Macaca fascicularis: one gene and its partners. The protein of the gene in region 3 interacts with the protein of the main gene of each other region in a biochemical or structural test. Links are inferred from orthologs where the notes say so. Each region holds a gene or a part of one and is shown on either strand. Other genes may lie near its edges. The genes, in order: MAP4, KCNA5, SNTA1, RPS6KA1, SLC16A7, SCN5A and SCN4A.

Region 1 (4,262 bases), on a different chromosome or scaffold from region 3:
GAGGTTGCAGTGAGCCGAGATAGCGCCACTGCACTCCAGCCTGGGCAACTGAGACCCCATCTCAAAAAAAAAAATATACATATATACACACACACACACACACACATATACACACAAACACACACACACAAATTAGCCAGGCGTGGTGGTGGGTACCTGTAATCCCAGCTATTCAGGAGGCTGAGGCAGAAGAATCGCTTGAAACTGGGAGGCAGAGGTTGCAGTGAGCCAAGATCATGCCACCGCACTCCAGCCTGGATAACACAGCGAGACTCCATCTCAGAAAATAAAATAGAATAAAATAAAAATAAATGGCCGGGCATGGTGGCTTGCACCTGTAACCCCAGCACTTTGGGAGGCCAAAGCAGGCGGATCACTTGAGGTCAGGAGTTTGAGACCAGTCTGGCCAACATGGCAAAACTCTGTCTCTACTAAAAATACAAAAATCAGCCGGGTGTGGTGGCACATGCCTGTAATTCCAGCTACTCATGAGGCTATGGCAGGAGAACTGCTTCAACTCAGGAGGTGGAGACTGCAGTGAGCCGAGATCCTGCCACTGTCCAGCCTGGGTAACAGAGCAAGACCCTGTCTCAAAAATAGGTAATTAAATAAATAAAATTTAAATTTAAAAAATACCCACTAAGAATATCTAGTGCCTTTCCAATTCTATAATCAAGTACCTTTTTATTACTGATTAGGCAGCCCAGAACAATGGAGGTGTCCTGGTCAGTGGATAATTAAATCCAATTGTGCACATGGCACTTAATGCTTCCAACATACATTAACCAGTATCTGGTTTATCAGTCTCTGGTGAGTTTGTTATTTTGCATGAATAAATTCCAAGCACTTGAATCATCCCAATGTAAACCAAAATTCTGAAGTTTCTGAACTACTATGTGGGGGTTGGAGAGACCTTGGTTTGGTTGGATACTACTTTTGCCACTTAACTATCTGTGTGACCCCTTATTCCCATCAGTCTCAATCTCCTCATCTGTTAATAAATACAGCTAGTGACTGGGAGATGGCAAGTGCTCAAAAAGTGACAGCTTTATTATTTTGAAGCTAAATTTGAAAGGATGTGTATAACTGAGGTGAATACATTTCATTTGAAAAGAACTAGTACAGATCAGCAAACTACGTCAATTTAAAAGACACAGTTTGAAGAGAGATGTCCCAATCTATGGAGTTGAGAAAAGTAAAGTTTAAAAGTTGCAAGTAAAGTACACACTGCACAGTACAGACGGGAGTCTCCTGCTTAGCAACTCTAATGTTGTCTACCAAACACCCAGCTTGTAATAGAGCATGACAACTGTTCACTCTAAATCCATGTGCTCAGCTTGGATTCAGGATTGATTTATAAAAATAGCTGCTGGTGGTGCTCTTTGAATCTCTTTGCGCTGATGACTGGGCAGTGTTACCCTACAGGCCTAGAGCAGCTGTATTCCCTCACCACACCCATTTCTCTGTCTACCCAGCCAAGCTGACGGCACCCTGCCCCCGCCCCCCATCTCTACAGCATACTATTCTCCCTCCTCCTGGGCTGAGTGAGCAAATTACAAGCACAAATATCCCCTGATGCAATGCCACAACCATCCCTGGGAAAGAGCAAAGGCAGTTGCCAAAAGCACAGCAGCAGGGAAATGGGCGGGAGACGCGCGCGCGCGCGCACACACACACACACACACACACACACAGAGCAAGAAACGCTGCAATACTATGCAGCCAGGGAGAGAGAATTGAGAGGCCCTGGGGAGCAATGCTGTAACAGGACCAGAGAAGGCAAAGGAGAAAAGGGGGTTTCCAGTAGAAAGCTGGGTAACACTAACCTTCCCGAGAAGCACGTATTTCATCCGAGTTTGGGTTCTAAAGCACAAACCTATAAGGTAATCAATCACTGCCTCCTCCGCAAAACAGCAAATGAATTTAATTTACTCGTTCCTGGAAGTAAGCAAAACTCTCACAACTCTTCCACAGGACAATTTCACCAAAGGGATCTCACACGGGCAGAGAACTTGTTCCATGTGATAAATCACAATCTCTGTTCTGGGTAATGTTTCCAACTGCCCCTCCTAGTCCCTGTACCCTCCCCACCCCCACCCTAATGCGACCCCTCCGCACTCCCACTGCCAGACACACGCTTTAGTCCCCACACAGTGCTGGGGCCTTTGCATGCGGGAAGAGCCCCGCCTAGGGCCCGGTTCTCCAGACCACCCTTCAGCCCCACCCATAACCCCTAACTGGACACACTAAGGCTGAATTCAGCCTCACATCAACTGACCCCCATAAAGCCTCAGAAAACGACCTCTGAGTTCTCCTACACCCCCGAACCCCACCCAAGGTCCCAGACTGTGGCCGACCCTCGCTCCGCGGCTCAGCCCCATCCAAAGCCCGAGGCAAGTCGCTCGGCCCCACCGCCCCGACCCTCAAAACTGGACCTCTCAGCCCCCCTCAATCCAAGAATCCCCCAGATCGCGCCTCAAAGACTCCGAAGGTCACGGCCGCCGGCCCCCCGCCTGGCCCCCTCCCTCGGACGCCCCCGCGTCTCGCAGGCCGGCGGCCACCGCCCTTCCACGCCTCGGGCGGGCCCCGTGGGGTACCGGGCTGCCGCGGGACAAGGCGCGGGCAGCCCCGGGACAGTGAGGAGGCCGCCCCTCCATGGGACCCCGCCTGCGGCTGCACCTACCCGCCGCCGCCGAGACGGAGCCGGAGCAGGGGGGAGCCAGGAGAGCGCCGGGAAGAGCCGTGGAGGAGCTGGGAGACGTCGGGAGGAGCCGGGAGCCAGCGAGCGAGCCGGAGGGGCGGGGCGCAGGGAGGCGGCCGCTTCCTCGTCGCCCTCTTGAGGGCGGGCGCAAGGGAGGGACGCCGCCACCGCCTACCCGGCAGGCGCCGCCGCTCCGGCCAATAAGGGTGGCGAGGGGGAGGGCGGAGGGCTACGGCGGACCAATGGGTGCTGGCCTTGCTGCCACGCTCTCTCTGCAGAGCTGCGCGAGCCGCGGGCCGTTGTAGGGAAGCTTCTTACCTGCGGCTTGCGAATGCCGAAGCTGACGGCAGGCCGATCGATTGCCTCCGCTGTTCTATGATGGCCGTCGCTGTCTCTCAGAGTCTGGGCCCCTGGAGCGGAGAGAGTGCGAGAGTGGGCGCGCACGCGGGCCAGGCCACCAGAGGGTGGGGCCTGTGGGCTCTGTGATGTAACCTGGGAGGGGCGCGGGGCGGAGCCTAGGTCGCGGGCCAGCTGAGCTCTGGAAGGAACTTTTAGTGAAGCGGTAGGACGCCACAGGTCCTCTGCAGGGCTCCGCTTCCTGGAGCCGCATGTGGCTAGTGAACTCTGAAACGTGGCTGGCCCAAGTTGAGATGTGCTGTAAGTGTGTGTACAGTACACACACACCAGATTTCCTAGACTTAGTACCAAAAAATATGTGTTTTTTTAAAATGGTTACAAGTGGGATAATTAATTATAACAAAATTGATGACAGTTGGGATATATTTGGTTAAATAAGAAATATTGAGGCCGGGCGCGGTGGCTCACGCTTGTAATCCCAGCACTCTGGGAGGCCGAGGCGGTGGGTCACTTGAGGTCAGGAGTTCGAGACCACTCTGACCAACATGGCGAAACCCTGCCTCTACTGAAAATACAAAAATTATCCAGGAATGATGGCAAGTGCCTGTAATCCCAGCTACTTGGGAGGCTGAAGCAGGAGAATTGCTTGAACCCGGGAGGCGGAGTCGCAGTGAGCTGAGATGGTGCCACTGCACTCCAGCCTGGGCAACACAGTGAGACCCTGTCTCAAATGAAAAAAAAAAAGTTTCCTTTTCTACTGCAATTAACATTACTTCATCCCAAAGCCCCAGATTTTGTGGAATCCTTAACTTACTGTCGTAAGAAAACACACAGGTGGGAGCTTTAAAGTTACTTTGATCATTCTTCCTGATTGCTGGAGTAGTCAGCATATTCCTGTACCAGACTTCAGGAATAGAATTGGCTTTGAGCTCCTTTGTAGTTAGATGGCTAGGAAAACTGAAAAGTGTTGGAATCCTCCATTCTTTCTGTAAACCAAAAAGTGAGACAGGTCTCAATCAATTTAGAAATTTATTTTGCCAAGGTTAAGGACTTTCCCGGAAGAAAAAAACAGAATCACAGAAACAGTCTGTGATCTCTGCCTTTCTCCAAAGATAAATTTGAGGGATTCAGTATTTAAAAGGGAAAAGTGGGCTGGAGGGAACAAGAGAAAAGGAGCAGGTAGAGGAATAGTCAATTGTGTAAT
Region 2 (4,253 bases), on a different chromosome or scaffold from region 3:
CACAGGGCAGGGGAAGATTCTCTAGTGTCCCAACCTAGAAAGATTAATATGTTATATCAGCCATCCTCCTGCCTCCTGCAGCAGGGAACTAAAGTTCTCAGGCCAGATGTTGGAGTGAGGGAGTGCTTGTATCAGGAAAAGGGATTATGCATTTCTATAGAGAAGTGAAATACAGGGGACAAGGGCCAAACTCTGATTGTCTGAGTTTGAGTTCCAGCATCATCACTTTCTACTGTGTGAGCCTGGGTGAGTCTGTCAATCTCTCTGTGCCTCAGTTTCTTCGTTTGTAAAATGGTGATGATAACAGTACTTACAAAACAGGTTGCTGTAGGAATACGCAGAGACAATATTTGTGAAGTGCTGAGAATGGGCTGGTGCATAATAACAGCGAAGTAAGTATTGGTTGTTATTATTCCACTCTTGGGATTTCTCCAGCCTTGGAGATTGGACAGCCTCCCTGGCTCCCTCTCATAAGCCACCTCCACCCTCTGCCTCCTTCATGGACCTAGATGCAGTTGTTAGCTCCAAGATTCACCAGACAGGATTAGCCTTCACTAGGATTGTAAAAATCTCTTCTCCCCTCCCCTGGTGTGGTTTTTGCAAATGGGATTCGTTGGAGAGGGTGCAGGGGTTCTGCTGGGTTGAGACCAGACAGCCCATCTACTGACTAGGCTGCTTGCCTGGGCTGCCACTGGGTCCATACTGGAAACAGGCTAGGGCATGCGAATCCTGCAAGGTTCCAACCCTCTAGTACATTTTTGTGGAGCTGCAGGAAGACGAGAAGAGAGATGCTTCTCCATTGATATATGTATTTCAAGGTCCGAAACTACGTGGGCCCCCTCCCTTCTGTAATTCTTCCCAAAGAAATACCGTTATTTCTCCAAAATAAAAAGGACTGGTGTCTCCTGTCTCTGTCTCTCATACTCCGACTCAGCTCAAAGCCTCTTCCCTTTAGCCCAAGGCACTTCGTTCCCCCTGGAGTCCACTCGGCTTCCAGCGGGTTCCCAGGTGAACCGAAATCCAGAGCTATTCTCATCTGGTTGCCCTGGGAATTTCAGCGCTCTCGGTACAACCTGTTCCTCCATCCTCCCCACTCCTTCCCTCCCTCCGCTGGGCTGCACCCCTCTCAGCCCCTCCTTTCCCTTGCTAGGGGCACCAGCTGCGCCCTTCGGGGAGACACTGGCTGCCACAAGACCCGGGAGGGGAAGCGGGAGGAGGGGGAGGGGAAGCAGGAGGAGGGGGAAGGGAGAGGGGAAGGCGGGGGAGGCGCCGAGGGTGGAGGCCAAGCGCAGCGCAGCCAGAGAGGGACGGCTGAAGGTTGCATCTGCTGGAAGGAGGCTTTTCGGCTGCTTGGTAACGGGCTGCCAGAAGAGAGAGAGGCAGAGAGCAGGGCAGCGGCTTCTTGACGTCAGGGCCAAGCGAGGGGATCGCGCCAGCAACCCCAGCTCGCCCCAGAGAGGGGCCGGCCGACCGCGGGAGCGGAGCCTGACGGGAGGTGCCCGGGGAGCGTGAGTAGGGGGCGCGGCAGCAGGTCAGCTGGGGCGCAGCATGCCCGCTGCTCCCGCGCCATGGAGATCGCCCTGGTGCCCCTGGAGAACGGCGGTGCCATGACCGTCAGAGGAGGCGATGAGGCCCGGGCAGGCTGCGGCCAGGCCACAGGGGGAGAGCTCCAGTGTCCCCCGACGGCTGGGCTCAGCGATGGGCCCAAGGAGCCGGCGCCAAAGGGGCGCGGCGCGCAGAGAGACGCGGACCCGGGAGTGCGGCCCTTGCCTCCGCTGCCCAAGGAGCTGCCACAGCCTCGACGGCCGCCTCCCGAGGACGAGGAGGAAGAAGGCGACCCCGGCCTGGGCACGGTGGAGGACCAGGCTCTGGGCACGGCGTCCCTGCACCACCAGCGCGTCCACATCAACATCTCCGGGCTGCGCTTCGAGACGCAGCTGGGCACCCTGGCGCAGTTCCCCAACACCCTCCTGGGCGACCCCGCCAAGCGCCTGCGCTACTTCGACCCCCTGAGGAACGAGTACTTCTTCGACCGCAACCGGCCCAGCTTCGACGGTATCCTCTACTACTACCAGTCGGGGGGCCGCCTGCGGAGGCCGGTCAACGTCTCCCTGGACGTGTTCGCGGACGAGATCCGCTTCTACCAGCTGGGGGACGAGGCCATGGAGCGCTTCCGCGAGGATGAGGGTTTCATTAAAGAAGAGGAGAAGCCCCTGCCCCGCAACGAGTTTCAGCGCCAGGTGTGGCTTATCTTCGAGTATCCGGAGAGCTCTGGGTCCGCGCGGGCCATCGCCATCGTCTCGGTCTTGGTCATCCTCATCTCCATCATCACCTTCTGCTTGGAGACCCTGCCCGAGTTCAGGGATGAACGCGAGCTGCTCCGCCACCCCCCAGCGCCCCACCAGCCTCCCGCGCCCGCCCCTGGGACCAACGGCAGCGGGGTCATGGCCCCGCCCTCTGGCCCTACGGTGGCACCGCTCCTGCCCAGGACCCTGGCCGACCCCTTCTTCATCGTGGAGACCACGTGCGTCATCTGGTTCACCTTCGAGCTGCTCGTGCGCTTCTTCGCCTGCCCCAGCAAGGCAGGGTTCTCCCGGAACATCATGAACATCATCGATGTGGTGGCCATCTTCCCTTACTTCATCACCCTGGGCACCGAGCTGGCAGAGCAACAGCCAGGGGGCGGAGGAGGCAGCCAGAATGGGCAGCAGGCCATGTCCCTGGCCATCCTCAGAGTCATCCGCCTGGTCCGGGTGTTCCGCATCTTCAAGCTCTCCCGCCACTCCAAGGGGCTGCAGATCCTGGGCAAGACCTTGCAGGCCTCCATGAGGGAGCTGGGGTTGCTCATCTTCTTCCTGTTCATCGGGGTCATCCTCTTCTCCAGTGCCGTCTACTTCGCAGAGGCTGACAACCAGGGGACCCATTTCTCTAGCATCCCTGATGCCTTCTGGTGGGCAGTGGTCACCATGACCACTGTGGGCTACGGGGACATGAGGCCCATCACCGTGGGGGGCAAGATCGTGGGCTCGCTGTGTGCCATCGCCGGGGTCCTCACCATTGCCCTGCCTGTGCCCGTCATTGTCTCCAACTTCAACTACTTCTACCACCGGGAGACGGACCACGAGGAGCCGGCAGTCCTTAAGGAAGAGCAGGGCCCTCAGAGCCAGGGGCCGGGGCTGGACAGAGGAGTCCAGCGGAAGGTCCAGGAGTCCAGCGGGAGCAGGGGATCCTTCTGCAAGGCCGGGGGGACCCTGGAGAATGCAGACAGTGCCCGAAGGAGCAGCTGCCCCCTAGAGAAGTGTAACGTCAAGGCCAAGAGCAACGTGGACTTGCGGAGGTCCCTTTATGCCCTCTGCCTGGACACCAGCCGGGAAACAGATTTGTAAAAGGAGATTCAGGCAGACTGGTGGCAGTGGGGTAGGGAATGGAAGGCTTGCTGAACATGGATATTTACATTATACCGCAGAGTATTTGAAGTCACACTGTAACCTCAGTCTACCCCTCTCCTTTCACTCCTTTCCTCCCTCCCTCAATCCCCCCATTTTCTCTCTTCTTTCCATGACACCCAAGGGTCACCTATTTTTAAAAAGTACCACATTCCATGACGCAGGAGCTGTTGAAATGGTAAGCGCTGTGAGATGGATGTATTTGTAGCCAGTCTCCTATACCCCGCAGAGGGATAACCCAAACAAAAATGACTCTAAATAGCCCAGATCCCAAGAGATTACGTAACTCCTCCATCCATGTGTTCCAAATTTGCTTTACATATGATTACATTTGTGTATAGGGGAAAATATTATTTTTATGCCTGGTAAGTGGCTTTTTGTACTGTAGTTTAGATAGAGATATTTTGGATATATTTTCAAGATACATGTTGTATTTATGGAAGAAAGAGTTGCCCTGATGTTTTTCTGTGATACTTATATTAGAGCCAGAGATCTTGGTATGGGCTGTTCTGGTTCCTGTGTCTCCAAGCCTCTGTCTTTTCCGGGATGTGGTATTGGTGCTTTGTGTCTAGGGCAGAGAATGTTCTTGAAGAAAGGCAAATCTGACTTTTTCTGTGCGCCTTAAACAATTCTTGTAACTTTCTTCAAAAAGCATTTGAATGATATTGGAGGAATACTTCTGATAATTTATTCTCTTTATTTTTAATCCCAGGAAATAAAAGGTTACCTTGTTGAGGCAAGTGTTAGTTTTTCTGCAGCTGATATGTTTTCTGACATTTTAAAAAATAGTCTGTCACTGTCTGTTTC
Region 3 (4,105 bases):
CTGCTTTAGCAATCATAATGTTTTACAATCCAAAATCCAGGTTGGAAACCAAAGCCTTAGAGTCTAGCGATTCTAAAAACCTACCTGAATGGCATCTTGGATACAAAAGAAGCTAATACATTTTACTAAACGGCTTTATTACCAAACTCTTAAATGCCCTTTTAAAATAAGAAATAGTAATAATAGGTCACCTTAGTTGCATGTACCAAATGCCAACATTGCGTCTTTACAATATCCCATCACGTAGGCATGCTCAGTTTCCTATTACAGACACTGAAGTGTGGAGGGAAGCCCCTTGTCCAAGGTCACTCAACTAGTAAGTAGCAAAGCAAGCCAGTATTTGCACCTAGGCCTCCAGGCTCAAGAACCAACACTATTAACCCTACCACAGACGGCAAGTCAGGCCCTCAGATATCACACTCCTGGCTCATCCCCAGAATACTGAAGATGAAGAATTAGTGTCCCAGAGTGGGAGGTCATTGTTCCAAGGTCACACAAGCTGCTGGCGGAGCTGGGACTGGAACACCTCTCTTGACACCCACGCAGGCCCCACCGTTTGCTTATCTGCACAGAGCTTGAAGTCTAGGAGAGGAAGGGGTTTCTATTTATATCTGCCCTCCCCCACCTGAAACTAGGGGCTTCAGTTCAGTTTGAAGCTATGATCACTCATGGCTGCCTCAGACTAAGCTAGACTCTATAGGAGGGGTTACCATGGCAACAGGAGCCCAGATTTGGATCCAGTGGAAATACCTGAAGTCTACTAAAAGTACCTTCCCCTCCACCTAGAAGTATGGAGCTGGGGAGTAACTTTGTGTGACCCTGGAAAGTCCCTGCTCCTGAGTCTCAGTGCGTCCATCTGCAGAATGGAACTCTGTATGAATAAGTTCCTTCCTGCTCTGACACACTGAGTGTATAATTTTTGGATTGGTCTGTTGCCCTATCCCATGCTGGAGATTGAGGGTAAGACTGGTGCCCATACCCTCATTTTCCCATTTCCCCTTTTTAGCCTCTCTTGGTTGGGTGCCTCGGGATCTGCCCTTCTACAGGAAAAGAATCAACTTCCCTGAGCACTCTCTGGGGGACAGTAGCTGATAACTAAGGTTCAAATCCCAGCGCTGACACTCACTGTGTAATGGTGGGAAAATCATTTTACCTTTCTGAGTCTCAGTTTCTTCATCTGCAATATGGGGATTATACTCCCTACCTTTCACCACTTGTTGCCAGGATGAAGTGGATCATGAGACTAGTGTCCTGGGCACAGCACCTGGCACACAGTGGTGGCATTCACCACTATCTACACCACCTCAGCCAAGCCAAACAGTCTGGAGGCACTCATCAACAGAACCAGTACCAGGGAGACCCCAGAGGGTACGGTACATATTCAAGGTGGAAACAAAGGCTGACACCCTTTCCCAAAGCACCCTGCTAGGGGCTGGGATCCTGAGAAGCCGATGGGCAAGCATAGTGAACCCAGCAGCTGGGGGTGTGCAAGGATTTTGAGAACTATGTTTAGCTGCTTTGGGAGTATCTCCTGGCCTCCATTTTTCCTCTCCGCTAACAGCAGTAATTAACTAAGGCACCTACAATGTGCTGGTGTGGTGAGCCCTGCTCTCAGAAACATCACAACTCTATCATCCTCTTATACAATTGAGGCAACTGAGATTCAGAGACGGGACGGGACTTTTGCAACCTCACACAGCTGATCCTCGATTCAAACACAGTCTGGTTGCACCCTAACTGCACCCCACTAGCAGTCAGTCCTGGGGACTGAAAGCTCCATCCTGTGCAAGGTGGAGATGGTCAGATCAGGAGACCCAAATCCAGCTGTCAGGGCTCCCCGCAGCCTTCCTGGGTCCTTAGATTCCTAGGTCCTTGCTGGCCTTCTGCCTGTGACCCCAGTCTGTGCCTGCACCCAGGCCTCCTATCCACCCCTGTGCTTCGCAGACTGCAGGCCTCCCCTCTGTACCCACCTTGGTTGCTTCTCAGGGACTCCCTCTTCCCTGTCCCACTAGTATCCCGGCCTCAACCCCCTTTCTCCACCCTCTGCTTTCCGGGGGACCCCTCTTGTCCTTGATGTTCATGCTGGTTGCCTCTCAGATCCCCACGCCTCCACACAGAACTCCCACCCACGTGTCCTTGGTGCTCCCACAATCTCCTCCACACCTGTGTCTTCCGTGCCCCCTAAGGCCACCAACTACCGAAACCCACTCCGACCTTGGTGCGCCCAGTGCCCTCCGTTACCTGTTTCCTCAGACCTCCCTTACCCCCGGACAGGAGGCCTCCAGCTCCATGTCCTGGGCGCGCTGCCAGTCCCTTGCTCCCTCGGCGGCCCCCAGACACCACGACCCCGCGCCCTCGGTGTCCCGCGCCCACCTTTGATGCTGATGCCCAGCCCACCGGCGTCGGCCTTGCGCACCGTCACGCGGCGCCGCTGGAGCAGTAGCGCCTCTGGCAGCTGCGGGGCCCTCGCGCCCGGCTCTGCGGCGCCGTTGAGCTGCGCGGGCTCCGGCTCCCGCGGAGCGCCGGACTCGGGACCAGGGTCGCCGTCGGCGGGGCTCACGGTCAGCACGTCCTCCGCCAGACTCAGCAGCACCCGCTGCCACCGCTCGCCGCCGGTCCCCGAGCCCGCCCCGGCGCGCAGCTCCAGCAGCCCGGTGCGCGGGGCGCGCCTGCCGGACGCCATCTTCGCCTCCGAGACCCCGGGACGCCGCGCTTGCCCTGTCCCGCCGTGCCCAGCCCGCTCCGACCAAGCTCCCAGGGCAGAGGGCAGCGGGGGCCCCGCTGGGCCAGCCGCCACCCTACCCGGGCCGCTGGGGGAGGCGATCTAGGGGCGGGGCTACCCGGGGGTGTGACCAGTGCTGGGGACTGGGCCTCGGGCAAATGCGGGAGGCCGGGGCGGGGCCCGGGAGCCGAGGGCCGCAGTGTGAGACTACCTAGGGGGCGAGTCAGAAGGGCGGCGTGGCGGGACCACTAGGCAAGGCGAAAAGCCCGGGAGGCGCGGTGCTGGGCTGGGCGTCGGGGGGCGGGGCTTCGCGTCGTGGGCGGAACCCAATCAGCCCGCGCAGTGGGCTCTGCGCTCGGCATGTCCATCGAGGGCCGGGACTGTAGCTCCCGGACGTGGGAGCGCATGAAAAAAAAACAGAACCACGTATCCTGGTGCGAAGCACTGGGCAACGGGCTGGGCTGCATATGGCGGAGGACTGGGCTGCGTATGGTGGTCTGGGCTCCAGGGCTTGAGTTTAAGAGGTAGACACCGGCCAGGCGTGGTTGCTCACGCCTGTAATCCCAACACCTTGGGAGGCCTAGATGACAGCCCAGGGGCTCGAGGCTGCAGTAAGCCGCGATCGCGCCACTGCACTCCAGCCTGGGTGACAGAGCGAAACCCTGTGTCAAAAAAACAGAAAGGTGGACGCTGAGCCGCGAGAGACCTTGCAGGCAGAGTTACTAGTTGGGGAGCTGAGGAAGAAGCTGGTTTCCCATCAGGTGGTCGAGGCTTTGGTCTGTGGGCGTGGCTTATCGTTGGCGTGGCTTCTAAAGGGGACAGGCCCCGCCCCCGGAGGAGAGAGCTGCCGACTCCACTTAGGGCTTGGGGAGGGGGTGGGCAGGATCCCCACTTCAAAACTGGAGGGAAGTTTAAGAGATTAATCCCTGGCTGTGTTCGCAGTCAAGTATAGAAAAGCCTGAAGTCCCACACTTTGAGGCCTGGCAGAAAAACCCAGAACTCCTAGTGTGGGGGAAGGCTGCAAGGTGGGGCTCTGGGTCTGGGCCTCTGGAGACCTGGTTTCTAATCCTTGCTGCCTGTGTTAGCTCCAAGTCGACCTTGGTCCCCTCACGTTACTGCTCTAGGCCTCAATTTCCTCATCTGTAAAATGTGGATCATAATAATACCTACTTCACTGGGCTGGTGTGAGGATTAAATCAATGTGAAAACACGTGGTAAACTGTGACTCTATGCTATAATCACTTTCGTTTAGTGACTGTTTACTCTTAGCTAGGGCTAGCAGAGTATTTTCCATGTGTTATCTCATCTTTACATTAGCCTCCTGGAGTAGCTAAGAGCACCCCCAGCTGGGCACAGTGGCTCACACCTGTAATCACAACTGAG
Region 4 (3,500 bases), on a different chromosome or scaffold from region 3:
ATATTCTGACCCCCAAACTGGGGCTGGGGCTTGGAGGAGTCCATTGTTATCAGGGCAGGCCTGGGGCTTACTTCAGAATCAATGTCATGGTTTCCTTCCGGTCCTTCCCCTGGAAGGGCAGGGAGCCCGTCAGCATCTCAAACTGCAGAGGACAAGGGTCTATTCAGGCTCTGATCCCTGTCTCCCCCACACACCTCCCGCCTCCTCCCATCCAGGCCCCTCTGCCCTAGTCCCAGGATTCTTGCTGATACATCCAAGTCTTCCTGGTGCAAGAATTACATCCGTCCCTCTTGCCTCTGCCAACCCAGACCACCAGGCGCAGCAGTGGGGGCGCGAGGCTGGGGAGAAGGCCAGCACTGGGTTAGGTGTGTCCCAGGTGGGGTCAAGCCTGGGATCCTTCCAAGGAAGAAAACCACAGCTGAAGATAGAGTGAGGCCAGCTTGGCTGTGAGAGGAGACGGGGAGAGCCCTAGAGATGATCAACCCCCTCACTGTACAGATGGGGAGACTGAGGCCAGAGGCTTGGGCTGGATCCTTTACCCCTGTCTGGGCACTCACCATCAACACCCCATAGGACCACCAATCCGCACTGTGGGAGTGGCCCTGGCGGTTGACGACCTCGGGGGCCATGTACTCCACTGTCCCGCAGAAGGAGTAGGCCTTCTTCTCGTGGTCAATGGCCTCCTTGCTCAGGCCAAAGTCTACAGCAAGGAGGGCAGGAGGACACACCTCAGGAACCCTGCCTTCCTTGCTGCCACCCTTTGCACACCCAACCCCCGTGCCCAGAGGCCAGAAGCCATCACCCCCATGACACTCAGGAGGAAGTTAAGGCCCAGAGAGGTCAGGTGACCTGCCCTATGTTACACAATGAGGGGCTGGGATTCCAACTGAGGGTGTTCCAAGTCTGAGGCCTGAGTTTTTGAACACTTCCAAGTAACAGGCACAGCTTCTCAGGAAGAATGAGGCCCCAGCACTCAGCGAGACCTATTAGGACCTTGCCCTGCCCTCCCCTGGGGCTCAAGGGGACAGGCGGCCTCCACTCACCAGTGAGTTTGATGTGGCCCTCCTCATCCAGAAGGATGCTGTAATAGAGGAATAGGGGTCAGGGCTCCTCAGCTGTGGCCATGGGGGTGGTGGTGTCACCACAGGGCTGTGGGAGTTGGGCTCAGCCCAGAGGAGGTGCTCCACCCAGTTATCTCTGATGACAGGGTGGGCGTTGCAGGGTGGTAGCAGTGCCATGCAGGGATGTTGCCTATCTTTTTTGCTAATCCTTGAAGCAACTGTGTGAGGCAGGTACTATTAGGGCCCCATTTTGCTAATGGGGAAACTAAGGCTTAGGGCAGTTAAGTAGCTCTACAGTCATCAAGCTAGTAGGTCTAGCTAGTAGGTGGAGACAGGATTTGAATACAAGGCTACCTAACGCTAAACCCAGATCTTATTCCAACTCACCACCTGCCCCTGGCTCCTTAGTTATCATTTGAGGGTAGTTAGATATTAGGGAAAATTCTACAGGGCTGTATCAAGGAAAGACCTCTAAAGGTAGCCTCTCCAATGTCACACTAGATTAGAAAAAAAAGATGGGCAACATTACCTGCATGGAAGGTACCTGGCCCTTAGGAACGGTAGCATTAGTGACTGGGCAGCTGGCACTACCACCCACCCCACTCACCCATTCCTCAGATTGCCCAAGACAGGAGGACGTTCCTGGAGAAAGCCATGCCCACCCACCTCAGGATGGCCCTGTCCTAGAAGAGGCCTCCCCTGGGGAGGCAGGGGTGGGGCTGGAGGCTTCACTCACTTCTCAGGCTTGAGGTCTCTGTAAATGATACCCAGGCTGTGCAGGTGATCCAGGCCCAGAGCTAGCTCGGCCAGGTAAAACTTCACATCCTCCTCCGTGAACATCACCTGCAAAACACAGGAGGGGTCTTCAGCAGGCCCTCCTCTTCCTTAAGAGCTGGGGCACTGGGCAGTCAGCAGCTTCCTGGTCCTGAAGGGCCACCCTGGGAGGACCCTTGGAGACGCCAGGCCATATAGCCTTCTTGTCATACAAAGTATGAAATGACTAATACGCAAACCACTCATTGTGGCATCGTTCGGAAATAGAAGGGGTTGGAAACAGGCCTAGGGTCCAAGAGTAGAAGGCTGGAATCAGTTGTATCCCCTGCATAATGGAGTGCTTTGCAGCTATAAACTAGAACATGGAGTTTCTCCATGTTCTGAGATGGAGTGAGCTCCAAGATGTACTATCTTGAAAAAAGCAAGGTACAGAACAGTGGATACAGAATAGTACTTTTTACATAAGGAAGTGGGGGTAGGAATGAATATATATCAGATTTGTTTGCAAAAGAAACATGGGAAAGTTAAACAAGAAAGCAATAATAACGTTTATGGGTGGGGATAGAGGGGGCTGGGGCGGGAGTAAGACTTCTTCGTGAATATTTTTCTTTTGAATCATGTAAATGTATTTCCTATTCAAACATTAAAATAACAATTTAAGCCAAGCACGGTGGCTCATGCCTATAATCCCAGCCAGCACTTTGGGAGGCTGAGGCAGGCGGATCACCTGAGGTCAGGAGTTCGAGACCAGCCTGGCCAACATGGAGAAACCCCATCTCTACTAAAAATACAAAAATTAACCAGGCATGGTGGCATGAACCTGTCATCCCAGCTACTCGGGAAAATAACAATTTAAGCCGGGTGCCGTGGCTCACACCTATAATCCCAGCCAGCACTTTGGGAGGCTGAGGCAGGCAGATCACCTGAGGTCAGGAGTTCAAGGCCAGCCTGGCCAACATGGCGAAACCCCATCTCCACTAAAAATACAAAAATTGGCCGGGCGCGGTGGCTCAAGCCTGTAATCCCAGCACTTTGGGAGGCCGAGACGGGCGGATCACGAGGTCAGGAGATCGAGACCATCCTGGCTAACACGGTGAAACCCCGTCTCTACTAAAAAATACAAAAAACTAGCCGGGCGAGGTGGCGGGCGCCTGTAGTCCCAGCTACTCGGGAGGCTGAGACAGGAGAATGGCGTAAACCCGAGAGGCGGAGCTTGCAGTGAGCCGAGTTCGCAGCCACTGCACTCCAGCCTGGGTGACAGAGCCAGACTCCGTCTCAAAAAAAAAAAAAAAAATACAAAAATTAACCAGGCATGGTGGCATGCACCTGTCATCCCAGCTACTCGGGAGGCTGAGGCGGGAGAATCGCTTGAATCCGGGAGGCGGAGGTTGCAGTGAGCTGAGACCCTGCCATTGCACTCCAGCTTGGGTGACAAGAGCAAAACTCCATCTCAAAAAAAAAAAAAAAAAAAAATTACAATTAAAAAAAAACAAAAAAGGCTAGATTCTCTTTAAAGTCTGAATTGTATGAATGACCCCATTTTCTAGCTCAAATCTTTTTTTTTTTTTATTTTTTGAGACGGAGTCTCGCTCTGTCACTAGGCTGGAGTGCAGTGGCACGATCTTGGTTCACTGTAACCTCTGCCTCCCAGGTTCAAGCGATTCT
Region 5 (4,223 bases), on a different chromosome or scaffold from region 3:
GATAGTCTTCAGAGAAGGATCATCCTCCCCTCCTAACATGAAGAAAAATCCTTCATTACCTGTTTTTATTCATTAAGGATCACTATTAATGAACAAAAAACGGGCTGAATACAGGTTCCTGAGAAAAGACACTCTTCTCAAATTTGCCTTTTAGCAGATCTTACCAACATCTCTTACAACTGCGGAGTTCCTTTCAAGTTATTTGGGATATATGTTTCTTCCATCAAGAGGAGAAAAAAAAAGGGGGGCACTAAAAGGCAAATGGGATACAAGAAAAGATTAACCTGGATGACTGCCTATATGAGAACTTCTTGAGAACAGAATTCCAGCCTCATTCATCTTGGTAACCCTGGTAGGGTGTCTAGACTGATTATAGGAGCTCAAATATAGCCTGTCTAAATTCTAGGTGTTTACCACACACTTTATTCTTCCCAATAGCATTTCAAAGTGGGTACCACCAATCTCATTTTATAGATAAGAAAAAGGTAAAGCCCTGATTGTTAAACAACTACTCAACCTTACAAAAGTGCAGAACCAATCTGTTCTAAAGTTAATTCCCTTTTTCCATGTGAATGTCTCAAAAATGTTTGGTGAATGAATACAGAATTAAAATCAAATTCTGGAGATGCCTTTTATTTCAGATCCATGATCCAGGAATATGACTCTAGACAAGGGAGGTTTCTTTAGGTAATGTTTCTCTCCTTCCCTTTAAAAGAGCTCAAAGCCAAAAATATAAGCCAGACATTATCAAAGAGCAAATGAATGTCTAGAAATAAACTGAGCATTTATAGAAGGATACACTAATTTGAACTTTGGGAAACAGGTGTTAAAATTTCAGATCACTTAATATTAAAACATGCCTTGGGGGAAAAAATGTAATATGTAACTGCAAACTGTTGATGTATTTACAAAAAATAGTTTCTGACTTTGTAAGTTGTTACACAATACACTGAGTTTCTTATGGTTATAATCTTTCCTTTCCACTGAGATCATTCAGTCCCTCACTTGGATTGCTTTAAATGTAATGTGCTCAGTTAGAAGTAGAAGCTGGAGTTAGGATTGCTTCACCGGGGCTAAATATTAGTCACTTTGCTCAACCCTCATTTGCCCTCTCCAGTCCCCACCCAACTCTCATTTTTCAGCCACACTCCACCAAATGCATACTTAGTGCTTGTGGTTCCAGTGACACAACACATTCAAGCTAACCTGTCTGTGGAAAGTTGGCAACCCTCTGAGTTCAGACTGGGGTTAGCCATGAAGCATGGGGTGACAGGAAATGGCATCCAGTAGTCACTCCTTCCTCTGGTCCAGTCTTTTTCACATCACCTTCATCACTGCCCGCTATTTTATTCTTCTGCTGTGTCTCCTTTGGGACCCAAGAGGGAAGAAGGACATGAAATAACAGCTGTCCTAATGCCACTAACCAGCCCTAACGCAACGCAGCCTAGTCCTACTTATTTCTCCGGGAAAGGCAATCAAAAAACAATTATAGAGAAACCACTCCTCATTTCCTCTTCTATGTCTCTCGTGTGTGTGAGTGTGAGTGTGTGTAAAATTTTAATTTCCCTGGAATTGGAACTACAAAAGTCCCTCCTCAGCCCTACCGGGAAAGTGGTATTGGGCACGACCGCCCTTTCCAAGGCAGTCTGCAATCGTTTTCGCGGAAGTAGAGGAGAAAAGCGGGTAGAGAAGGGAGCTGCCATGCAGCATCCGTTGGGAAAACAGTTCGCACGTGAGCGGGCTCGCACGTGAGCGGGCTCGCAGCCTGTGGCGCCACCTGACCGGGCCTAGTGCCCCCAGTGTGGTGCAGTAGCTCAGGAAGCCCAGCAGGCACAGGCCCTCCTGAACCCTTGCCAAGTCAGCGCTCCCTTTCTGCCTGGGCTCAGGCCTCGCCCGCATACACTTTTCCATCTGCTTCCACCCCTGCCATCCTTCCTGGGGACCAAAAATGAAGAAAGACAACCCCCACGCCCCAATCCCCCGGTATTTCGTCTTCCCCTCGCAGCCTCTTCCTGTCCTGATCATCTGCTCAAAGAGAAGACGTTCCCTACACACACCCTCACCACCCCCACCTCCACCTTGTGCAGCAATGAAGCCACGCTACCCTAGGGGGTTCGGGGGCCGGATGCTGGCAGGGCGCGCACTAGAGACACGCCGCACGCAAGCAGCCCTCCGAGTCTCGTGAGCCAGGGAGACTGGGGTGCACCGCGCCACGCTGAGTCTAGGTGTAAAAGCCTAGAGCGTGGGTACCTCCTGGCCGAAAGCACGCGGGGCGTTCCTTGCCCGGGACCCCGCACACCCCCAGCAGCTCCCGGGCCGCTGTCGGCGCTCACTGGCTGACGCGAGCTCTCCTCCCGCGGCCGCTTCGGGGTTTTTTGTCTATATAAGGGCTCGCTGGCCAACTCTGCGTTGGCACGTTTGTCACAGGCTGGCCATTATTTGCACACACGCGTGCGGCTCCGCGGGCAGCTCGGGTCGCAGACGCGGGCTTTCGCTCCTCTTCGCCTGCGCCGCCTCCTCGTCCTCCTCCTCCGCCCCCCTCCCTCCCCAGCTGTACTTACTTTATCTGGTCTCTGGCGCAGGGTGGGCGCTGCAGCTCTCTGTTCCCCGCAAGCCGCAGCCGGTTCGCCTTGCTGTCAACGGGTGAATGGAATTATTTATTTATTTATGGCCCCTGACGTGTCCTCGCCCGCCACAGCCAGCGGAAAAGGAGGCGGCGGCGGGAAGGGGAGGCGCGGCTGCTGAACGCCCGTGTGGGTGCGGAGGAGCGCGCGCCGGGGGTGGGGGCCGGACAGACTGCGGTGGAGGCCGGCCCGGGGGGTGGTGGGGGGGAGCCGCCTCCCGGTGCCTGGAGACCGACTGAGCATGCTCCAAGCGGCTGTCAAAGCTATAGGCAATTTCTCTATCGCTCGGGGCACTCCACTTCGGATTTTAGTTTTGACCAAGGAAGAAAGCCAAAAGGCAGGTAGATCTGTCGTTTCAGATGGGTCGTGACTTGCTGTATCCGAAGTACTCTGTAGCCTGACCTAGGAGTCAGGTGTGGGGTAGCTCTGTCTAGATATTCCAGAGAGTTGTGTAACCCATGCATGGGAGAGGAAAGCATGCAAAAAGAGAAGAGTCTGGCCGAATGCAGGGAGAATAGGAGATCCTCACTGTGAACTTGCAGTGAAAGTGTTGAGCCATTTTTCAACTGAGGCCTTTTTGGGAGAAGGAGGTAGTGCACTGTTGGAGATTAGACTCACTAACCAAATCACTTTACAGAAAAAAATAAAATTGACACCATAGGAGGAAGGGTATGGAAAACAGCACCAAAAGACATTAAAAATAAGGATTTTTTTTTTTTTTTCAAATCATTTATAAGTAATTCCTTTCATTTTTGGTTTCTCCAATTATTTAGTTCTTCAAACCAGCATTTAGTTATTTGACAACGAATAGTGCTAGAGATAATGGTAATTGTGCAGTCATTGGTTTGGTCTCTTCCTCTGTCTAAAATATGCTTCTTGGGAAAGTTGGAAAGAGGAAGGGCTGGAAGAGAACGTTTAACCTACCCCAAAGATTGAGTTTCTTTAATAACTTTAAGTTAAATTGCCACTTTAGAGAAAAAGAAACTATCCAAAAGAATAATTGTAGGTTTTGACTTGACAAGTCCTATTGCAGTTTGTCTACCAGTTTAACTAGCTTTCTCCTCCTTGATTTCACAATAATCCTTTTAAGATGTGTTCTATGATTCTTCACATTTTACAAATTTATAAAAAGATAGTTAAGTCATTTGGGTAAATTCACACTGTCTTTTGCCGCAGCTAGTCTGTTGTAATGGACAAAATTTGAATTTCAATTTCTGTAGCTATGAAATAAAAGTAATATCAATCTTGGGTTGATTTCATAAGATTTAAGTGAAATAATATACATGAAGTGGCTGGTAGGCATAATATAAGGTGAATAAATAATGGTGATTAATAACTTCAAAATTATTGGAAGATAATTTTATTGAAAGAATGATATTTGAAACTGAAAAAAAAGGCAGAAAATTACAGAAAGGATTTTATATTTTTAAGCTAAAAATGCTTAAATAGACGTTTGTGTAAGACATAATAGGCATTTTGATAATGATGGAATGTCTAGCAGTGACTCTAAATACTTCATTTAATTACAAAAAAGTTAAACATTTCAAAGAAACAACATGAAGGCACATTTCAAGGTCATATTCTTGAGTGTTTGCTATT
Region 6 (3,500 bases), on a different chromosome or scaffold from region 3:
ACAGAATGGATGCCCCTAGCCAGCCCTCTGCCTCCACCCCCCACCCCTCCCCATGTGACCCCCGAGACCCCAGCCTGTCTGATCTCCCTGTGTGATTTCTCCCTCACAGTATGAAGAGCAGCCCCAGTGGGAATACAACCTCTACATGTACATCTATTTTGTCATTTTCATCATCTTCGGGTCTTTCTTCACCCTGAACCTCTTTATCGGTGTCATCATTGACAACTTCAACCAACAGAAGAAAAAGATATGTAGAGCACCAGCTCCCCGCTGGGCTGGGCAGAGCAGGGCTGGGTGCCAGGGGATTGAGGGGCCATTCGGGCTCCGGGCCCCATCTCACCTTCCCTGCTGGGGATGGTTCTCTTCTTGCTGCTGCTGGAATGAGGTGGGGAGAAGGGTGTGTCCAGGGATGTAACATGTCTAGGCCTGTAAGAACATAAGAAGGGGCTTTGGTGGGAGGCCCCATGTCTGCCCTAATCCACCTGAGAGATGAGACTCCTGGGAGAAGCTGGTGTGAGAGCTGCATCTGTTCACCTGGTCCATGATCAGAGGTCATGGGTAAAGCCTGTGCAGAGGCCCTGGGTCTTCCCAGAGCTTCATCAGAGCGGCTATAACTGGGTTGTAGACAAACTAAGTGAACAGAGAGAACATGAAGGCTGGTTGAGCTAGGAGGGGGAAAGGGCGGGGGGTGGATACTGGATTTGCAGGTCATAAAGCCAGAGAGATCTCAAGGTGAAAGGGGACAGGGCTCCTGGATAAATAGATTTGGGGAAGAATCTGTGGTGCAAAATAGGGACATATTTTGTCCAGGAGAGGAAGCCAGGAGGTGGTTGACCCTGGCATCCTCATCAAGGAGGCAAGATCCTGGTGCCCTCCATGCTGGGGCCTCTGAGAACCCCAGAATGAGGTTGGTGCCTTCTCTCTGCACTTAGGGGGCCAGGACATCTTCATGACAGAGGAGCAGAAGAAGTACTACAATGCCATGAAGAAGCTGGGCTCCAAGAAGCCCCAGAAGCCCATCCCACGGCCCTTGGTGAGCTAAGCTCCTGGTTCTGTGGGAGTGGGGAGGATCTTCTGGGGTCCCTGGGAAGCTTTCATGCCACACGGCCAGCCATCAGGGCCACCTCACAGTCTTTCAGCCCAGCCTGAGGGACGCTATCAGATGTCTGAGCATGAAGAGAGGTCCCAGCCTCATACAGATAGGGAGGAAGGTATGAGAAGGATGTAGCATCCCGGGACACTCTCCTCCCACAGGAACCCTCTGTCTCTGAGCAGGTCTCCTCCTTCCCCTCAAGGATGCAGGCTTTCCTCGGGAAAAGCAGGGCAGCCTTCACAGCCCCACCCCACCCCACTCAGAGCCTCATCCTTGGACCCCCAGAACAGTCAGGGAGCCGGATTCCTGAGTTAGCTGGTGGGGAGAGCCAAGAGCTCTGGAGAGTGGGGTCCTCTCAAAGACTGACTCCCTTGGCCCAATCAAGCCATTATCCAAAAAAATGTGTGTGTGTGTGTGTGTGTGTGTGTGTGTGTGTGTGTGTGTGTGTGTGTTTGTTTATAATATTTTCTAAGTGGGAGAACAGAAAAAAAAATGTGTATATATATATATATAAAAAATCTTATTTATTTCCCCAAATAATCTGGGCTGATTTACAATTAAAGACACATGTAAATATGGTTAGTACAATAAATAAATTACATTAAAAAGTAGAGAAAATATATTAATCTAAGCACTGACATAATTACTAGGGTTGAAGTTGAAATTTACCCTTGAGCCTTCAGACTGTGGCAACTGAAAGGGAAGCACAGTGAACAGTATGCTAAGGATGCTCAGGGCAGGAAAAATCTCCCCCTGAAGATCCATCATGGAAGTCCTCATGGAAGATGGAGCCTTGGAGCTGGGCCTTGAAGCCCAGGAAGCATTTCAGCAGGAGAGCCAATGGCTTTAACCTCCAGGAGTTTTTCCTCTGCACTCTCTGTGGCAGTGTGGCAGGGGTTTTGGGCTCACTAGAGGGAGAGTGGGAGGGTGGGTGGCCTGGGATGAGAGGCAGAAACGGGCATTTGCCAGCCTCCCAAGGGCCCTGCTGAGCGCTTTCCATTTGCCTCTCCTTTCAGAACAAGTACCAGGGCTTCATATTCGACATTGTGACCAAGCAGGCCTTTGATGTCACCATCATGTTTCTGATCTGCTTGAATATGGTGACCATGATGGTGGAGACAGATGACCAAAGTCCTGAGAAAATCAACATCTTGGCCAAGATCAACCTGCTCTTTGTGGCCATCTTCACAGGCGAGTGTATTGTCAAGCTGGCTGCCCTGCGCCACTATTACTTCACCAACAGCTGGAATATCTTCGACTTCGTGGTTGTCATCCTCTCCATCGTGGGTGGGTATACAAGTCAGCTGGACAGAAGCCCTCCCCAGCCAGGCCTCTCGTCCGGCCCCTGAGTCTCTGCTGAATGCCACGTACAACCCTAGGTTCTTTCATTCTTTTTTCAGTGCATTTCTCACCCCCCTCCCCTCATACATACATGCACACACACACCTCTCCAGAGAGAACTTATCTGGAAGGGTCCACTTGGGTCAAGGAGACCAACCTGGCAGAGGACCCAGCACTCCCTCCTGGCCCCACCCTCCAGAGGACCTGGGAACACAGTTCTCTAACTGCTTAGATAGCTTCAAGGATGAGTCTGGGAATGGGAGTGGGTGCTGTGGAGGCTAGTTCTGCCCGCACTTAGGTTGAAGGAGAAGGAAGCTCACTAAGGATGAGGTGGGTCCCCAAGGATGGGGAGTAGGTGGCCCTCCAGAGTAGAAGTTATCCCTGAAGATGGAAAATTCTGGAGCTAACCGCCAAGGTGTATGCCAGACTCTTTCAGACATACCTGCCTCATGCAATTCACCCAGTCAATTCAGCACTAAAGGAGGGAGATTGTACAGCTAGGGAGAAGCAGAGACCCAATCCTGACCCATGTCTGTTTGACCTCAGAGCTCAGATCTTTTTTTTTATATGACAGCTTTCCTGAGACATAATTCACATGCCATAAAATTCATGGTTAACTTTAAAGTCACTTTAAAGTATACATTTCAGTGTTTTTTAGTATATGCACAGAGCTTTGCAACCATCACCACTATCTAATTTTAGAATATTTTCCTTTCCCCAAAGGAAACTCTACCCATTTAATAGTCACTCCCCATTCATTTCCCCTCTCCCTCAGCCCCTGAAAGCCTCTTATCTAAAATTTTGAGGGACCACCAAACTGTTTTTCAATTTGGCTGCACCTTTTTACATTCTTACTGTCAATGTATGAGGATTCCGATTATTTCGCCCTCACCAACACTTGTTATTGCCTGCATTCTTTTTATGGGAGCCCTCCTAGTGGGTGTGAAGTGATATCTCCTTGAGGTTTTGATTTGCAAAACCAAATGACTGATGACTAACGATGCAGGACATCTTTCCATGTGTGTGTTGGTCATTTATATATCTTCCTTGGAGAAATCTCTATTCA
Region 7 (3,500 bases), on a different chromosome or scaffold from region 3:
GAGTCTCACTCTGTCACCCAGGCTGGAGTGCAGTGGCATGGTCTCAGCTCACTGCCACCTCCACCTCCCGGGTTCAAGCAATTCTCCCTGCTCAGCCTCCTGAGGAGCTGGGACCATAGGTGCGTGCCACCATACTCAGCTCATTTTTGTATTTTTAGTAGAGACGGGGGTTTCACTATGTTGGCCAGGCTGGTCTCGAACTCCTGACCTCGTGATCCACCTCCGCCTCCCCAAATGCTGGGATTCAGGCGTGAGCCCCCGCGCCTGGCAGGCAGCACTGAATTTCTAAGCTGCCCTACTGATTCTTGTGAGGCCTAAGGGTTCCTGGGCTTGTGCCTGTGCTAGGCCCAGACCTCGTCTCTGAAAACCAAGGTGTGGAAAAAATTAAAGCCATGGCTTGGCTCGGAGCAGGTGTCCAGTTTCAGAGAGCGCAAGCTCCTATAAAGGCACTGTGGGAGTCCATGAGGAGATGGCCCAGTTGAGGGGTTGGCCATCCTGCGGTAGGCCCCATCAGGCACTGAAGAGGCTGCAGGGATGGGGGGGGAGTGGCTGTAGGGTTGGGAGGCAGGGTTGGGGCAGTTGTACCAGCTGGAAGAGGTTCTCCCAATAGTCCTGTGTCATGAGGCGGAAGAGAGCCAGGAAGGCCCAGCTGAAGGTGTCGTAGCTGGTGTAGCCATAGTTGGGGTTCCGCCCGGTCTTGATGCACTCATAACCCTCGGGGCAGTGCCTAGGGATAGGACAGGGGGCTAGGTTTAGGGTGGGAGGAGCACTCCAGCTGGGGACAGATGGGGGCCCCAAGGGAAAGAAAATCTGTCAGTTCTGCCTGTGTCCCCCAAACAGAAAAGTATTCCATCCATACCCATAGGTTTCCCTGCACTCCCATCCACCCCAGGTCCTTGTCTCAATCAGCTCCCACCTTCCAAGACCCCTGGGGCGCATTTTCTGCATCCCTTAGCATCACTCACCCAGCATCACTGCTGTTCCCACAGAGTAGGGCATCGCTGGAGCCCTCCAGGAAGTAGAAGTTCCCTTTGGGAGTCAGAGGCCACAGAGGAGGCAAGTCACCCACATGGACACAGTGTGAGCACCTGAGCCCATTGCACACCTGTGGACAGGTCTGCGTGTACCACATAAACCAAATGGATGTTCCCTGGCTGCCTCTTCCCCATCCTTTAAGGACAGCTCCAAGTTCCAAGGTCTCTGGGTAGGGACTTGGCAGGGAGCTCAGCTGCAAGCACTGTCAGCCCAGTGCCCAGTGTGGGCGAAAAGTCAGAACGCAGCAGCAGCACAGACAGGGAACGTGTACATGTGTGCATGGGGCTACTGTGTACCTTTGCAGGGCACCTGAGTGAAGGGTGTGTGGGGGCTGGAATCCAGGTGCCAGGGTGAGAAGGGGTATCTTTTCCTAATCTGCAAGAAGGCACTATGTAGACTAACAGTGGCTGTGTGAGAAAGTGTGTGTTTCTGGCATGTGTGCCTGTGAAGATGCATATGTGAATAGGATGTGGGTGTGTGGGTATGTGACGGTGACCCTGCCAGGGTGTGAGCATGTGGTGTGATGAAGGAGGACAGGGGGTGCACAGGTTAGGGAGTAGGAACTATAGACTTGCTTTGTATAGTGAGAGTTTCAGGATTTTTCTTTTTCTTTTCTTTCTTCTTTTTTTTTTTTGAGACCGAGTTTCACTCTTGTTGCCCAGGCTGGAGTGCAATGGCGTGATCTCGGTTCACTGCAACCTCCGTCTGCCAGGTTCCAAGCTATTCTCCTGCCTCAGCCTCCCGAGTAGCTGGGATTACAGGCACTATGCCCAGCTAATTTTTGTATTTTTGGTAGAGACGGAGTTTCACCACGTTGGTCAGGCTGATCTGGAACTCCTGACCTCAGGTGATCTGCCTGCCTCGCCCTCCCAAAGTGCTGGGATTACAGGCATGAACCACCATGCCTGGCACTTTAGGGTTTTTAAAACAGTTTGCCATTTGTTGTTGCACTAACCCTTTGAGGAAGGGATTGTTATCTTGATTTTATAGGTGAGGATTCAGAGGGCTAGGGAGATCAAGTGACTAGTCAGAGGTGACACAGGCTGCGAAGTGCTGGATTTAAGCTCAGGTCCTCGCCAGCCTATTTGTCTCGTTAAGAAGTGAAGGCAGGGTGGGGTGCGGTGGCTCACGTCTGTAATCCCAGCACTTTGGGAGGCTGAGGTGGGAGGATCACACGAGGTCAGGAGTTCGAGACCAGCCTAGCCAACATGATATAACCCTATCTTTACTAAAAATTAAAAAATTAGCTGGGCCTGGTGGCACATGCCTGTAATCCTAGCTACTTGGGAGGCCGAGGCAGGAGAATCGCTTGAAGCCAGGAGGTGGAGGTTGCAGCGAGCTGAGATGGCGCCATTGCACTCCAGCCTGGGTGACGGAGTGAGACTCTGTCTCAAAAAAAAAAAAAAGAAAGAAAATGTGGGAACAGAGGGTACCCTAGGGACTGGGACAGGATCCCCTTTGCCTGTCCACCTTCCATTCTTACCTTCATCATTGATGTAGGCGTCCCAGTCAAAGGTATCGTTGGTGGCCCAGCTTGCATGGCTGTTCCACGTGTCGTTGGCATACCATGAGTCATTGCCATACCACATCTCATTGCCATACCATGTGTCATTGCCGTACCACGTGTCATTACTGTACCACGTGGTGTTGGTGTCGTTGAACGGCGGGGGCCAGCGCACACACTTCTGCCTCAGGTTTCCCATGAAGAGCTGCAGTCCCACCAGCGCAAAGACGCTCAGGCAGAAGACAGTGAGGATCATCACATCTGACAGCTTTTTCACCGACTGGATCAGGGCCCCCACAATCGTCTTTAGCCCTGACCGCAGAGAGGGCAAGGATAATGGCAGGGGGCAGTGCAGGGTGATAACAGAGCCCCCCAGCCTCCACCACCAAGCTTTTTCCTACTCCATCTTCAAGGCTTGACTTACTGAGCACCACTACTTCCCTGAAGCCTTCTGAAATTAACCCCACCCTTCTCTGATCACATCCTCAATCTGGAGCCTTCAAATGGCCACAGATGCTCAGCCACTAGGAGAAGGAACTATAAAGACCTAATGGGCTGTTGCCTGACCTATAGAGCAAACAAAGGCATAGAGTGGAGCTTAATACATGTCACTAGGTTAACGCTCTCAAAGTGTGTTCAACAGAACACTAATCTCCCATGCTGCACCCTTAAAAAGCAGGGGGTTGATAATGTTTGGGAAAAGCTGCGCTCTAGATTCTGCTCTTGGAGAGTCATTATGTAGATGATCCTATCAAAGGTTCTGAAAAGTCCTGCAGAAATAAACAAAACCTTTATTTGTGTTTATTTATTTAGTTAGAGACAGAGTCTCGTTCTGTTACCCAGGCTGGAATGCAGTGGCACGATCTTGGCTCACTGCAATCTCTGCCTCCTGGGTTCAAGTGATTCTCCTGCCTCAGCCTCCCAAGTAGCTGGGATTACAGGTGTGTGCCACCACACCCAG

The links.
Region 1: the proteins of SNTA1 (region 3) and MAP4 interact in a test that uses a peptide from one of them, tested with the Homo sapiens proteins (2 studies listed by BioGRID and IntAct). The link is inferred for Macaca fascicularis from reciprocal best matches to the Homo sapiens genes SNTA1 and MAP4.
Region 2: the proteins of SNTA1 (region 3) and KCNA5 interact in a test that uses a peptide from one of them, tested with the Homo sapiens proteins (2 studies listed by BioGRID and IntAct). The link is inferred for Macaca fascicularis from reciprocal best matches to the Homo sapiens genes SNTA1 and KCNA5.
Region 4: the proteins of SNTA1 (region 3) and RPS6KA1 interact in a test that uses a peptide from one of them, tested with the Homo sapiens proteins (2 studies listed by BioGRID and IntAct, with this or other methods). The link is inferred for Macaca fascicularis from reciprocal best matches to the Homo sapiens genes SNTA1 and RPS6KA1.
Region 5: the proteins of SNTA1 (region 3) and SLC16A7 interact in a test that uses a peptide from one of them, tested with the Homo sapiens proteins (3 studies listed by BioGRID and IntAct, with this or other methods). The link is inferred for Macaca fascicularis from reciprocal best matches to the Homo sapiens genes SNTA1 and SLC16A7.
Region 6: the proteins of SNTA1 (region 3) and SCN5A interact in a test that uses a peptide from one of them, tested with the Homo sapiens proteins (2 studies listed by BioGRID and IntAct). The link is inferred for Macaca fascicularis from reciprocal best matches to the Homo sapiens genes SNTA1 and SCN5A.
Region 7: the proteins of SNTA1 (region 3) and SCN4A interact in a test that uses a peptide from one of them, tested with the Homo sapiens proteins (2 studies listed by BioGRID and IntAct). The link is inferred for Macaca fascicularis from reciprocal best matches to the Homo sapiens genes SNTA1 and SCN4A.

What each region holds. Positions count from the first base shown.
Region 1 is NC_088376.1:111,017,679-111,021,940, forward strand, and holds the start of MAP4 (microtubule-associated protein 4), read right to left. Parts: upstream 2,801-4,262; 5' UTR 2,684-2,800; intron 1-2,683. UniProt on the Homo sapiens protein: Non-neuronal microtubule-associated protein. Promotes microtubule assembly.
Region 2 is NC_088385.1:5,921,109-5,925,361, forward strand, and holds KCNA5 (potassium voltage-gated channel subfamily A member 5), read left to right. Parts: upstream 1-1,453; 5' UTR 1,454-1,568; coding exon 1,569-3,386; 3' UTR 3,387-4,186; downstream 4,187-4,253. UniProt on the Homo sapiens protein: Voltage-gated potassium channel that mediates transmembrane potassium transport in excitable membranes. Forms tetrameric potassium-selective channels through which potassium ions pass in accordance with their electrochemical gradient.
Region 3 is NC_088384.1:89,451,582-89,455,686, forward strand, and holds the start of SNTA1 (alpha-1-syntrophin), read right to left. Parts: upstream 2,801-4,105; 5' UTR 2,684-2,800; coding exon 2,374-2,683; exon of another isoform or gene 2,242-2,373; intron 1-2,241. UniProt on the Homo sapiens protein: Adapter protein that binds to and probably organizes the subcellular localization of a variety of membrane proteins. May link various receptors to the actin cytoskeleton and the extracellular matrix via the dystrophin glycoprotein complex.
Region 4 is NC_088375.1:208,560,760-208,564,259, forward strand, and holds part of RPS6KA1 (ribosomal protein S6 kinase alpha-1), read right to left. Parts: intron 1,905-3,500; coding exon 1,798-1,904; intron 1,082-1,797; coding exon 1,044-1,081; intron 701-1,043; coding exon 558-700; intron 143-557; coding exon 72-142; intron 1-71. UniProt on the Homo sapiens protein: Serine/threonine-protein kinase that acts downstream of ERK (MAPK1/ERK2 and MAPK3/ERK1) signaling and mediates mitogenic and stress-induced activation of the transcription factors CREB1, ETV1/ER81 and NR4A1/NUR77, regulates translation through RPS6 and EIF4B phosphorylation, and mediates cellular proliferation, survival, and differentiation by modulating mTOR signaling and repressing pro-apoptotic function of BAD and DAPK1.
Region 5 is NC_088385.1:66,480,480-66,484,702, reverse strand, and holds the start of SLC16A7 (monocarboxylate transporter 2), read right to left. Parts: upstream 2,801-4,223; 5' UTR 2,562-2,800; exon of another isoform or gene 2,251-2,561; intron 1,367-2,250; exon of another isoform or gene 1,207-1,366; intron 1-1,206. UniProt on the Homo sapiens protein: Proton-coupled monocarboxylate symporter. Catalyzes the rapid transport across the plasma membrane of monocarboxylates such as L-lactate, pyruvate and ketone bodies, acetoacetate, beta-hydroxybutyrate and acetate.
Region 6 is NC_088376.1:100,616,734-100,620,233, reverse strand, and holds part of SCN5A (sodium channel protein type 5 subunit alpha), read left to right. Parts: intron 1-109; coding exon 110-251; intron 252-928; coding exon of another isoform or gene 929-932; coding exon 933-1,033; intron 1,034-2,109; coding exon 2,110-2,380; intron 2,381-3,500. UniProt on the Homo sapiens protein: Pore-forming subunit of Nav1.5, a voltage-gated sodium (Nav) channel that directly mediates the depolarizing phase of action potentials in excitable membranes.
Region 7 is NC_088390.1:70,572,429-70,575,928, forward strand, and holds part of SCN4A (sodium channel protein type 4 subunit alpha), read right to left. Parts: intron 2,852-3,500; coding exon 2,519-2,851; intron 1,030-2,518; coding exon 966-1,029; intron 728-965; coding exon 586-727; intron 1-585. UniProt on the Homo sapiens protein: Pore-forming subunit of Nav1.4, a voltage-gated sodium (Nav) channel that directly mediates the depolarizing phase of action potentials in excitable membranes.